Drosophila melanogaster: one gene and its partners. The protein of the gene in region 2 interacts with the protein of the main gene of each other region in a pairwise test. Each region holds a gene or a part of one and is shown on either strand. Other genes may lie near its edges. The genes, in order: Clc, CG14718 and Drep2.

What was found.
Region 1: the proteins of CG14718 (region 2) and Clc interact in a two-hybrid assay, tested with the Drosophila melanogaster proteins (one large-scale study listed by BioGRID).
Region 3: the proteins of CG14718 (region 2) and Drep2 interact in a two-hybrid assay, tested with the Drosophila melanogaster proteins (one large-scale study listed by BioGRID).

The regions. Positions count from the first base shown.
Region 1 is NT_037436.4:20,239,011-20,242,764, reverse strand, and holds the start of Clc (clathrin light chain), read right to left. Parts: upstream 1,713-3,754; 5' UTR 1,659-1,712; intron 1,647-1,658; exon of another isoform or gene 1,225-1,646; intron 1,203-1,224; exon of another isoform or gene 1,081-1,202; intron 921-1,080; exon of another isoform or gene 862-920; intron 260-861; exon of another isoform or gene 1-259. Other genes in the region: CG17233 (uncharacterized protein), read left to right, coding at 2,270-2,902, 3,152-3,754. UniProt on the Drosophila melanogaster protein: Clathrin is the major protein of the polyhedral coat of coated pits and vesicles.
Region 2 is NT_033777.3:11,699,045-11,702,798, reverse strand, and holds CG14718 (uncharacterized protein), read right to left. Parts: upstream 2,186-3,754; 5' UTR 2,054-2,185; coding exon 713-2,053; 3' UTR 79-712; downstream 1-78.
Region 3 is NT_033778.4:9,292,647-9,296,400, reverse strand, and holds the start of Drep2 (DNA fragmentation factor-related protein 2), read right to left. Parts: upstream 1,607-3,754; 5' UTR 832-1,606; coding exon 619-831; intron 1-618.

The DNA of each region.
Region 1 (3,754 bases), on a different chromosome or scaffold from region 2:
ATTTAGTGGGCGTCTCACCCAGATTTACACGTACGCAGAGGAGCAGCCAGCTGCTGGCGGATTCCCCCCGATTCATTGACAATTGGGCACTACGCACCTCTCCTTTGATTCGGTTAGGACTAATTGAAGATCGGTGTGGGCGGATGACTAACCGGAAACTTGGTCAAATGTATTTTTTCAGTTTTCTTTTAGCAATGAATACGTAAAATGACTGTCATTAGTACGTGAACCAACCATAAAACAGCGGGCTATCGAACTGGTTCCAGCCGAACAGTGCTGGATAATGCAACATATATCGCAACGCGATGGTTTTAAATTTAATGTTATGATTTTTATATTAAAAAATAAATATTTTTTTACACCAGTTATTATGCCAAATCTTTTAAATGTATACAAATTAGTAATATTTAAGGAACAGAAACCATTGTTAACTATTTTACTTGTCAAAGCCGAATTCAACATTCCTTAACATCACGGATAACGAGTTAAAGATTTAGCTACATTTTGTATTATTAAGCTACAAGTTTATGATAATGTATGTTGAAAAAACCAAAGTAAGAACATTTAATTTTTCCTTAACTAAACTTTTAAATTATATCAGCAGCGTCAATTTTCCACTGGGTTTCTGGTCAATTAGTGTTGCAAAATGTGTAATGGTGGTGGCTTGATTCGTTCATATATAATTTAGAACCGTACATATAGTTAATAAAACCTAGATTTAATATAATATTTAAGTTTGGAATTATTTTATTTTTTTTTTTGTTTTCAGATTTTGTAAAGTTCTCATGGTTTTTGAAATCAACTAGTTCCAATTGATCAGTGTTAGGAAACGCGCGAGTTCAGTAAACACAACCTTCAGAGGAGTTACGATTAATTTGTTTATATCTTATCAAATGTGCCTTAATAAATGCTCGTAAAATGTAAATACACAACAAAGTTAACTAGTAATGACTGTAGACCCGATAAAAAGCGTATTATACAACACTTGTTGCTATTGCATAGCACATGGGAATATAATTGCTGGTCAAATTTCACGGTGAATTGTTCACACAACATGACTTAATTATGTTTTTGACTAACCTATGCCACGAAGAACACAAGACGCAGTATACTTTTTGAGGAAATTAACAAAGACGAAATGCGAGGACGACGGCAAAACAAACAATAAACACTCGGCGCGCGAACTAGTGAACCGATGAACAAGTTCACCGTGGCATCATTCACCTGAGCCAGTGGTTCGTTTTTCACTGGCAGCAGAGCGGCCATTTTGGAGATTGTTTCATCCACAAAAAAGTTATGCACCGAATCTAAAAAAAAGAACGTTCGCTGTTAGTTAAACATAAAATCCGCTCGTGCATATTGAAGCGTTGTTGTGCTGGCCGATCCGATGTGAAGATAATGCTGGGCCCGAGCAGACCGACAGTTCCGATTCTATAACGACTAAAAGTTAGTGACTATCTTCCAACACGCACGCATGTACGCCCGTGTGTGTGAGTATGTGTGTGTGTGTGTGTGATTGTGTGCATGGATACATATATGTACAAGCGGAAAATACGGGAAAAAATCCTATTCCCAGGCAGAAAAACATTGCCAAAAACAGCATAAATCCCAGCCAATGTGATGGCCCCGTCATTGTAATGTCATAAGTGAGCACCCACATTAACCCATTGACGCTGAAACTTCAAAAATGCGGTCTCCTTGCCGCCGAGCGCCAAGGCAAAAAATACAGACGCCAATTTTTTTGAAGGGGGAACCAAGCGCATCGTGGCCAAAAGGGATACAAAAAAAATGAAGATACGAAAAAAATAGGGGGATCCCTTCAGTGCAGAAAAGTTGGGGAACAAACACCCCAAAACTGGAGTGTTTCATTCTAAAGTGTACTTCTACTATGTGTTTATTGATTTACAATAAAAGATAAACAAAATATGTTTGACCACATATAAATATCAATAATTTTATAGTAATTATTATTGATCCATAAATAACATTAATTGAATTCGCGCCTTTTTCCCCTCTATATTATGAATGCCATGGCAAGCAACTTGTGATAACAATATAAATATGTTATAATCTAAGCTACCGCTAAATTGATAAATATGGGCGGGATTTTTAGACTTAACACATGACCATTGGAAATGTATCCGAGCAATAATAAACTCCAATTAGTTAATCCTTTACATATAAGCCGCTAATTATATTCAAAAACCACTAAAGTTTTGCTATTTGTTTCAGTTACCAGCCATCAGCAGTAGAAGAGCCCAAGCCAAACATGGATCCCAATTCCAGTCCCTGGTCATACGCCTACAACCGCATCGTGCCCGCCAGTGCCGGAAGCTCCGGCGGAACAGCAGAGGACTTCCAGCATCCACACCTGGCCACCATTACGGCAGCAAGCATCGCCAGCTTTAATGCGGCGGCCGCCAGTGGTGGCAGCTTTGTGCCTCCGTCACCGATTGGCAGCTACAACCCAGTATTCCAGCAGATCTACCACCATGCGGCGGCGGCCAGTGTCCAGCCTAAGCCCGCCCACTATGCCTCGTCAGCGGTGAGCACGCCGCACCGCCAGCTGCAGCTGCCCAGTTCGCTGGACAAGCAGCTCAGTTCGTTCCAGAACCAGGCGGCCGTGTCGGCGGCAGCGGCTGCTGTAGTCAACAATGTTGCCTCGAACTATTACGGGGAGAACTCCTCGTCGAGTGGAGCCTCACCATCGCCCACAACGGTGGCCCTGACGTCGACGTCGCTGACCTGGAACACGCCGAACATGATATCGAACACCTTCCTGGCCATGCAACAGCAGCAGGCACAGCAGCAACAGCAGCAGGCACAACAGCAGCAACAACAGGCCCAACAGCAACAGCAGCAGGCGCAACAGCAACAGCTAAACCTGGTGGCCGACAAAGTGGTGAGTAGAATTCGTTTGTTTTACGTTCGGCTTTCAGATCACTCTTCTATTATGGTTTACGCCAGCTTCTGGGGAAGCACACACACTTATTAAAACCCCGCAGGCTCTATCGCATTTATCGCATACTAACATAACATCCCTTCCAATAAACCCATCAAAGCATAGACTAAGTCTAGCCTCTCTATGTCGAATCAATCCCAAACCAAACACTTTCCGATTCCGATTCAATCTATGTACGGTGCGCTGTAGCAGATTAAGCAGGAAAAGCAATTAAAAGCCTACAACGACTCGATTTACCTGATCCAACTGCAACAGCAGCAGCAGCAACAACAGACAGCGGCGCAGCAGCAACAGCAGCAGCTCCACCAGCAACTGCAACAGGAGATCGCCGAGGCAGACACAGAACCGGACACCTATTACACCATTGATGGCCGGAAGGTCAAGGTGACGCGGAAGGATGGCCAGCCGTATCGGGCAACGATAGTAGACCAACAGGATGCCAGTCCGGTGCCGCTGGCAGTGCCAGTTCCGGCGGGATCCTATCCGGTGCAATATGCCAGTCCGGCGCTAAGCTCCGCAGATGGATCGCCCATCACGAATTTACATGCGGTGGACGTGGTCAGCACACCGCAGGCCCAGGTGATCGTCTACAAGACGGCATCCCCTGTGCAAAGGCGGCAAGAAGCGGGCGCTGGATCGTCTGCTGCTGCCACACCCACCACGGTGGCCTACTCATCTGTGATACAAAGCACCCTGCAGCAACAGCAGCAGCAGCAGAACCTCTGCTGGACGAAGCTGGAGGACAATGGAGCGGGGCAGGAGGACATTAAGAACGTGCTGCAGCTGCAGGTG
Region 2 (3,754 bases):
AACAATCTGAGTCAAGGATTTGCTGTGGGGGATTCAGAAATTTTGAAATTTCATTGTGATAGTTTAAAGCCACGAGTTCACCCTTTCTATAAATAAATGAATAGAAGATTAATTTTATTAAACAATTTAGACTTCATTGAATATAATATTTCGATTTACAGTGCAGTTCCGCAGAGCCAATGAGCCACTGAGCCACTGACTGCACGCGTCGGGAAAGTAAATAAATTCATTAAACGTTTAGAGCTGGCCAGGTGGGTCCGGTTGCCTTTTGTGCCTGGGTAAAATATTCAGTTACCCGGATTAAGTGGATTACCATTCAGCAAGTTGCATTGTCCCGCAATCTGAGGATCTCTGCTCTGGGGACAAAGACTGGTTCGGCGGGTATATGGTGGCGGCATTGCATTCAAACGCCTTTTTCTAAGACGGGCATTAACAGGAATTTAGGTGTCTTTTGTTCTTGGCTCTTGCTGTTCTTGGATGGGGCTCACAAGCTCATGGGCATCGCATCGAATCGATTCAATTCAATTGAAGTTGCATCTGGATATCACGACGCAGTTCGCGTTCCAATCACTTGAAATTTTTAGAAGTCCGGAAGGAGCAGGATGCAGAAGGCAGAAGTGTCCTTCGTACAAAAAGATGCGGATACACAAAACAGATAACACGTATAGATACAGACACAGACACAGACAGAACGAGGTGGACTGGACTGTTTCTACTCTGCAATGGGCGGATTCAGAACCAGCTCCCAGGTATCTTCCTCCGTCGACTCGGAGCTCTTCATTTCATCGGAACGCAGGGCGTGGCAACGATTGCACTTCGCTCGGTACCAGAAATTCATATTATAGCAAATCTTGCACAGCCAGTCGTTCCTGTATGGCCGCCAACGACGAGGGGCACCGTCCTCTTCGCGTGATCCCGCCCAGGAACTTCCCTCGTTATTCTGAGGAGCGACCACCTTGTCCGCCTGGCATCTGTTGCAGCTGGAACGCCAGACGAAGTTGCTGTTCCGGCAGAGCATGCACACCCAATTGTCGATGGCTGGCTTCCATTTCATTGCCCGCTGGCGACGTTGGTGCTCCGGCGCATTAAGCTCTCGCGGATAACTGTACCGGACACTGCCCCTCCGGGTGGATAGGTAGGCGGGCAGAACGGTGATCACCTGTCCCATGAACTTGGCCCCACTCAGACAACTAATCGCCGCCTGTGCAGAGAATGGACTCACATAGGTTATAGTGGCCTCACCCTTGGAGCGCCCCGTTATCTTGTTCTTGTAGACGAAGATCTTCGGCTTGTTGGTCGACTCGTCCATCTTGATAACGCCCACTTTGCCGAAGAACAGGATGATGTCGTTCTTGGTCACATTGAGGCGCATGCCCAGCACGAAGACAGTTTCCGCCTGGATCACGTACTGCTCCTGACCGATGCTTATATAGGGCCTATGCCGCGGGAGCGCCAGGCGGGGCATGTAGTCGGCGGCGGTGCGCGGGAACACCATGTAGGATGTGTTGCCACCCATGCAGGGTAACAGCGGCGGCCTCTGCTCGCCATTAACCTCCTCTGCAAGCTCCTCCATTTCCCCCATTTCCCCTATATCTCCATTCAGCTCTTCCCGCTCCAGCGTCTCACATTGGTTCATCTGAAGATCCCGTTCCGCCTCCTGCTCTGTGTCAATGCTCACGGACTCGCCTGAACTCGCCATCGGGCATGAGGACGACGTGCTGGCCACCAACTGCTGGTCCGCCTCTGCACCACAGAAGTGGTCATCCTCTTGGACCAGAAGCAAGGAACCGCTGGCATCGCCGCTTCCATCCTCGTAGCGGTAGAGATCACTGTACATGCCTCTGGGACTCAAACCGGAAGCGGCACTCGCCTGGGGAATGGGGGCTGGTGCAAAATTAAATCCCAATCCAGAACCCAATGTGGTTCCGACGATGTAGTTGGCATGGAACATCTGTTGCTGAGTCTGCAGCTGTGGCTGTGGCTGCTGGGTGTCCGAGTAATTTGGAGCGTAAAAAGAATTCGTATACACTACGCTGGCTGACGTGCTATCCATGGTTGGTAAAAAATATACGTAAAACTCCTCGTTGTGTGGCCTTTACTGCTGATCAAACACGAACCGATTCCTTTAAAAACTACTGAAATCTTTGATAACATCCAGACACTAGGAGTATAAAAATGAACTGAGTTCCGGATCTAAGTTTCTTTGATAGATTGTGTTGTAGCCTACTTGGCAGCCATATTTTTCCAATTCAATCAAATGGCAAGCCAATTTAATTTCATTACTTTTGACTCGAAAAAATGTTGGTGATGTGTTTATCCACATCAAAACAATATAATCCGAAGTATTAATAATATCATTGCTGCACACAAAAACCAACATATCAACCGTTTGTTGCCAATGAATATATTTAAAATAAAATCGACAGCGGCAGGATTAATTTAATTCAATAATGTGGAATTTACTGAGTGAAAATGTATTAATAGCCAAAGTAAAAATGCAATATGGACATCGAAATGGCTGGCACTTTTACGTCCACACCTTTCAAGGGATTTGACCTGGTTTTTCCATCCGTAGTCCATAGTTAAAAGCGCGAAGAACTATGCAAATTTCCGTGATTGGCGGCTAAAACTCTGGATGCCACTTTCGCAGCTCACTGATGACTTTGCACTTCGCTTGTCGTCGTCTTCGGAAAATTGATTCATAATTTCTGCACATTTTCACTTTAATCAGCAAACTTTGATTACATTTTCGCAGCGTGAGATGGCGCAGAAAAGTACCTGATATCAATTTAAAAGCTTCGAGTAGAACTCCCATAGGAATCTGAAACTTAAGTTCATATTTTTCGAAGACAAGACTCATCCATGGCCGGGCCAATCACGATGAATCAAGATGACTGGTACTCATCAAGCCAATTAGCTGCCAATTACCCCACTAATGAGCGACCACATTAACCCCACAAAGGATCCCGAATTGGAGGGCAGTCAAGAATAATGTCCTGCCAACGGAGCGTGGACTCTGAAGACATGTTTATTAATATCCCGAACCCGAACTCAAGGCCGGCCACCCTGATAAACGAAAGTGCCACGTTTGTCGCCAGCTCGGTTCGGGGGAAAAAAAAAGGAAACAACATTTTCACCAGCAATTGGCTTTTATGGCCGCCGCCTCTTTACGACCAAGTCCGCTGACCTTATCATCAGATTCCGGGTTCTCGGATCCGGTGTCCTGTACGGAAGCTCCTGTTTCATTAGCAGCCCCCGCTGCTGTGGTGTCCATTTCCAAGAAAGGAGGAGGGTCAGCATCTTCAACAGCAGCAGCTTTACTTCAGAGCGGCAAAGTTTTGCTTTAACCCGTCAAATATTTCCCCCGTTGAAATGAAGTAATGAAGCTGGGAACCGCCGACACGAAATTAAAAATCAACTGTCTTGAAGGGAAAACAACAGCGAAATGGAAACTGTTGCCGGGGAAAAGTTCCTATTCCGTTGGTGGAAAACTTTTTGTGCGCTCATAAAAATCGAGACAGGGCAAATTGTCTTCCAGTATAATTGCACAAAAGTTTGACTTTGAAGCTCGTCCGTAATTGAAAAGACAAAAGCGCAGCAAAGCAATTGGCCCGGAATATAAGCTGGTATATGTATGACTACGCTGCGTTCGGTTATTCTATGGTGTGGCCAAAAGGGATGACTCTTCATCAGCATCTCTCGGTGCACACGCACTGTGTGCAGCATTCATGTTGTCTTTCCTTCCATTTGCAGC
Region 3 (3,754 bases), on a different chromosome or scaffold from region 2:
ATTTTCCTCTTGGGATAGGTCAGTTGCTGCACCCCAGCACCATATGGCACCGAGGGAGTGCAGCGGGTCGGGGATGTGCTGGCTATTATAAATTATGAAACTGATAATACTATAAACAGCGAGCACTGCCAGTTCTAAGGCTCGATAAATCATATTATGCCGTAAAACAATTGTTGGAGAACTGGTTGAATATCGTAGCACTTTAAGATTGTGTGACTTAGCTTTAAAAAAAGGGGAAACTTTAGAAAACAAGTGGGTAATAGTACCTAAAGAAAATGTATAACATACGCTAAAGGTGATGCTTTATCTTCCCTAAGTAAAATAGTAAGATATTTCATTTCATGCAAGAAAAGAGGCAAACCAACCACCAACAGGTTGAATAATTTCAAATGAATTTCCAAAAACCATTAAACTAGTTATTGAGCAGTATTGCCCAACAAGCTATTCGATTAACCAGTGTGAAATGCATTTGAGGAGGTATTTAGAATTGGAGGTGGAATTGGAAACCAAACTGGATAAAGGACGGAATAGATTGAGTTTGATCTAGAAATGAAGGACATTTGCAGTCGATGAAAGCTAAACACTGAATAAGTATGGGTCGCAAAGCGAAACTATTACCATTGCGGACAGTCCGCCGTTTGTGACCGACGACGAGGGCCCCGTTGTGATGGCCCCACCACCCACTCCGGCCCCACCCGCCGCCGCGGCAGAGGCAGCTACGCCCTGCGTGGCCTGGGCCGCCGCCGCAGCTGCGGCTGCCACTTGTCTGATGCTCAGACAGTTGCAGAGCGGCTTCGTCACGCCCAGCGTGCACAGGGCGTTGGACCACATGGTGGTGCTGGTGGTGCTGTTGGTGGTGCTGCTGCTGCCAGCCACTTTTAGGCCGAGTCTCTGCGCTGGCTCTGCTGGCTTGCTTGCAATGGTTGGCCTCGTCGCTTCCAAGGTCGTCTTACACTTGGAGCTCCAAGCTCTGGTAATCCATGTCCGTTTTAAAAATCCGTTATATAAACCCGTAACCGATGTACGCCTTACAAAATCCGGAGTTGCGGATGCTTTTACCAAAAGTTCTACAAAAATTAAAGCTTATTGCTTATTGTTGGAGTCATAAATGCCTTGCGTTCAGGGGGAAAATTCGTAATTACAAAAATTGTTAAGGGGGTCACGAAAAAAAAAACGCACTTTGCACAAAATACAGCTTCTGGTATAAATGTTATCGTCCACGTTATTTGGTTACTTTAGTTTGTTGTAAATACTGGCAGAGTTGAAGTGCCTAGAATTTCGCTTTTCACTGCTCGTACTTCGCATTCGCATTCGCATTCGTATTTTTGGGGCAGGTCAGGGCGGGTTGACCTTCGCACTTTCACTTTACGGATACTACGCGCCTGCAGCGCCCTTTTGCCCGTGAAACCGCCGAGTTTTCATTTTCATTTGATGCTGAGTCCCAGTTATTAGACTTAATTATAGCTCGTTTTTAGAAACTTGATTTTGTAGAAAAACGCTTGATTTGTTTAGTTATAGCACCCAGTGGGAACGTGGTGTTTCCACGGGCCAAAGCAGCGTCCTTAGCTGCCTGTGTGCCTGGCAGCCTGGCAGAGCAAACTGTGAGTTTTCCCGACGAGATGCTGCATCGGATTTCACTACGGTAGCAGCTGCTGCTTCTGCTGCTGCTTCTTCTTTGACTTTTGGGGCTGGGTGCGTTTTTGCAGCGCGTTAACAGCGCTTGAAATGAGCACGAGGCATAAGCGCGAGAGAAGTGCAGTGAGAACGAGGTGAAATGCAGCACAAAGCTTTGCGAGAGCGAGTAGGACAGGTGGAGGAGTGGGGGTAGAAATCCCGTTACTACTATCTAGTCAATTTAATGCCTTCAGTTTTTAGGTCCCCAATTAAACCGTATTTGTTTTATCCACCCCACTATTTCCCATTTACTACCTTTTTTTCCATAATTTTCGATGTTTTAACAGGTAAAGATATTTCGTCGTGCTTTGGCCTACATTTGCATCAATGTGATATAATCAGGACGCCAAAGCGCGCGCACCTTCTCCCTCGAAACGCTTTACCAGCATTTCATAAGATCCCATCAGTTTGATTTTGTAAACATTTACTTCCAATCAACGGCGTTCAATTAATAGTGTTGCTATTGGATTGTGTGCCCCAGGAAAATATTTAGCTTTCTTTTAGACCTGATCTTGCTCGACATTTAAACTCTAGCATTAAACATTGAAGTCTTTTAATAAAAAGGGTGAGACAGAGAGAGAGTGATGCACTTTTATATGAAGCTCTCTACCTCTCGCAAAAGCATTGCCAGCTGTAAATGTGAATGGATAACAGAGCACTAAAACTCCTGTAATTGCTGCTGGCCGAGATTTTTAATTGCAGTAAGAAGAAGGAGAGATAAAGTTGTTTTGTTTATCCTAAATAATGCCAGATCAACTGCCAACTGAAAGCCATCTCGGCTGCATTTTTATCAGCTCTTAAAGGAATTCCAGCGCTTTGGGAATTCGCAACTAATTTATTTTTGGAGACATCCTCTCAAAGCAACAATTTTGGAAAGGCCAGAGAGCGAAATTCCTTTCAAAGGGGGCGCGAGAAGAGGAAGAAGAACAACAGTTGCAGCCACACGTGGGATGGAGGCGGCGGGAAAGGAGGGCGTTGGGGGAGTGGCACATCTGTGAGGCGTAAGTATTACCTCAGTTATTTGGGTCAAAGCTATTCACTCACCCGCAAAGCAAAACGAAACGAAGGAACTGCATAAAACATGCACAAACACACACACATATGCAGAGCAGGAGCTTGAGGGACACGCACACAAAGAGACTAATGCGGGCCACAGGCTTAATAGGTTTCTCTAGCGGATGCGGACGCGAGTGCGGAGCATCCGCAGCGATACGCCTTGCTAGATACACTCGCCAAAGGTTGTCATATGAAAAATTCACATAGATGGAGCAGAGTGCCTGTAGTTTAGGCCAGGCATGAATCGTATCCATTGCACCCATACTCAAGCAGCAAAATAAAAATTTGCCTAATCTTCTCTAGAAGTTGATTTATTCATGCATCCTGTTGTGTTGCTCTATAAAGAACCTATCTTTCGTTCAGCTGACCACGTAAAGAACAAAATATCTACAAAGACCAAGTCAAAGAAATATTAAAATATATTATAAATTTTACTTTGTTCAAATTGCATGTTATTAAAAAAAATCTATTACCTAGTATTATTTTTGATTATTTTGTTTCTACTGCTTAATTAAAAAATTCATTCCTACAGAGAATAATTATTTGTTACACGCAGCATTTTTATTATTAAGTTGTAGTGTTGGGTTAAACTTCTTTGGAAAAATATGACATAGGGTTAACTGTTTTAATGTTGGGAGAGGCTAACACCGTTGGTTGCAGATGTGAATGATGGGGGATGGTGATGAAGTGAGAACAGCTGATTTTGGCAAAGTAACTTGCGGTACCGTGGTGATCGGGAAAACTAAAACGGTTAAGCCGTAGTTGCCGGCTTTGCTTTGCTTTTAGCACGTTTGCACTTACCTCTCTGGCCATTACGACATGTTATCACCAGCGGCACCCGCTTAGAGGGTCTGCCATTTGCTCAGCGGCAATAACAACAAAAACAACACGGGAGCGCCTCTTAGAGCGAGGGAGTGGGAGAGGCAACAACAAAGCACACGCTTTTCGCGATACGAGAACTCTCGTGCGTCTACTTAAGTATGTGTGTGTGTAGGCGGCAAGCGGTATAGACGGAGAGACAGAG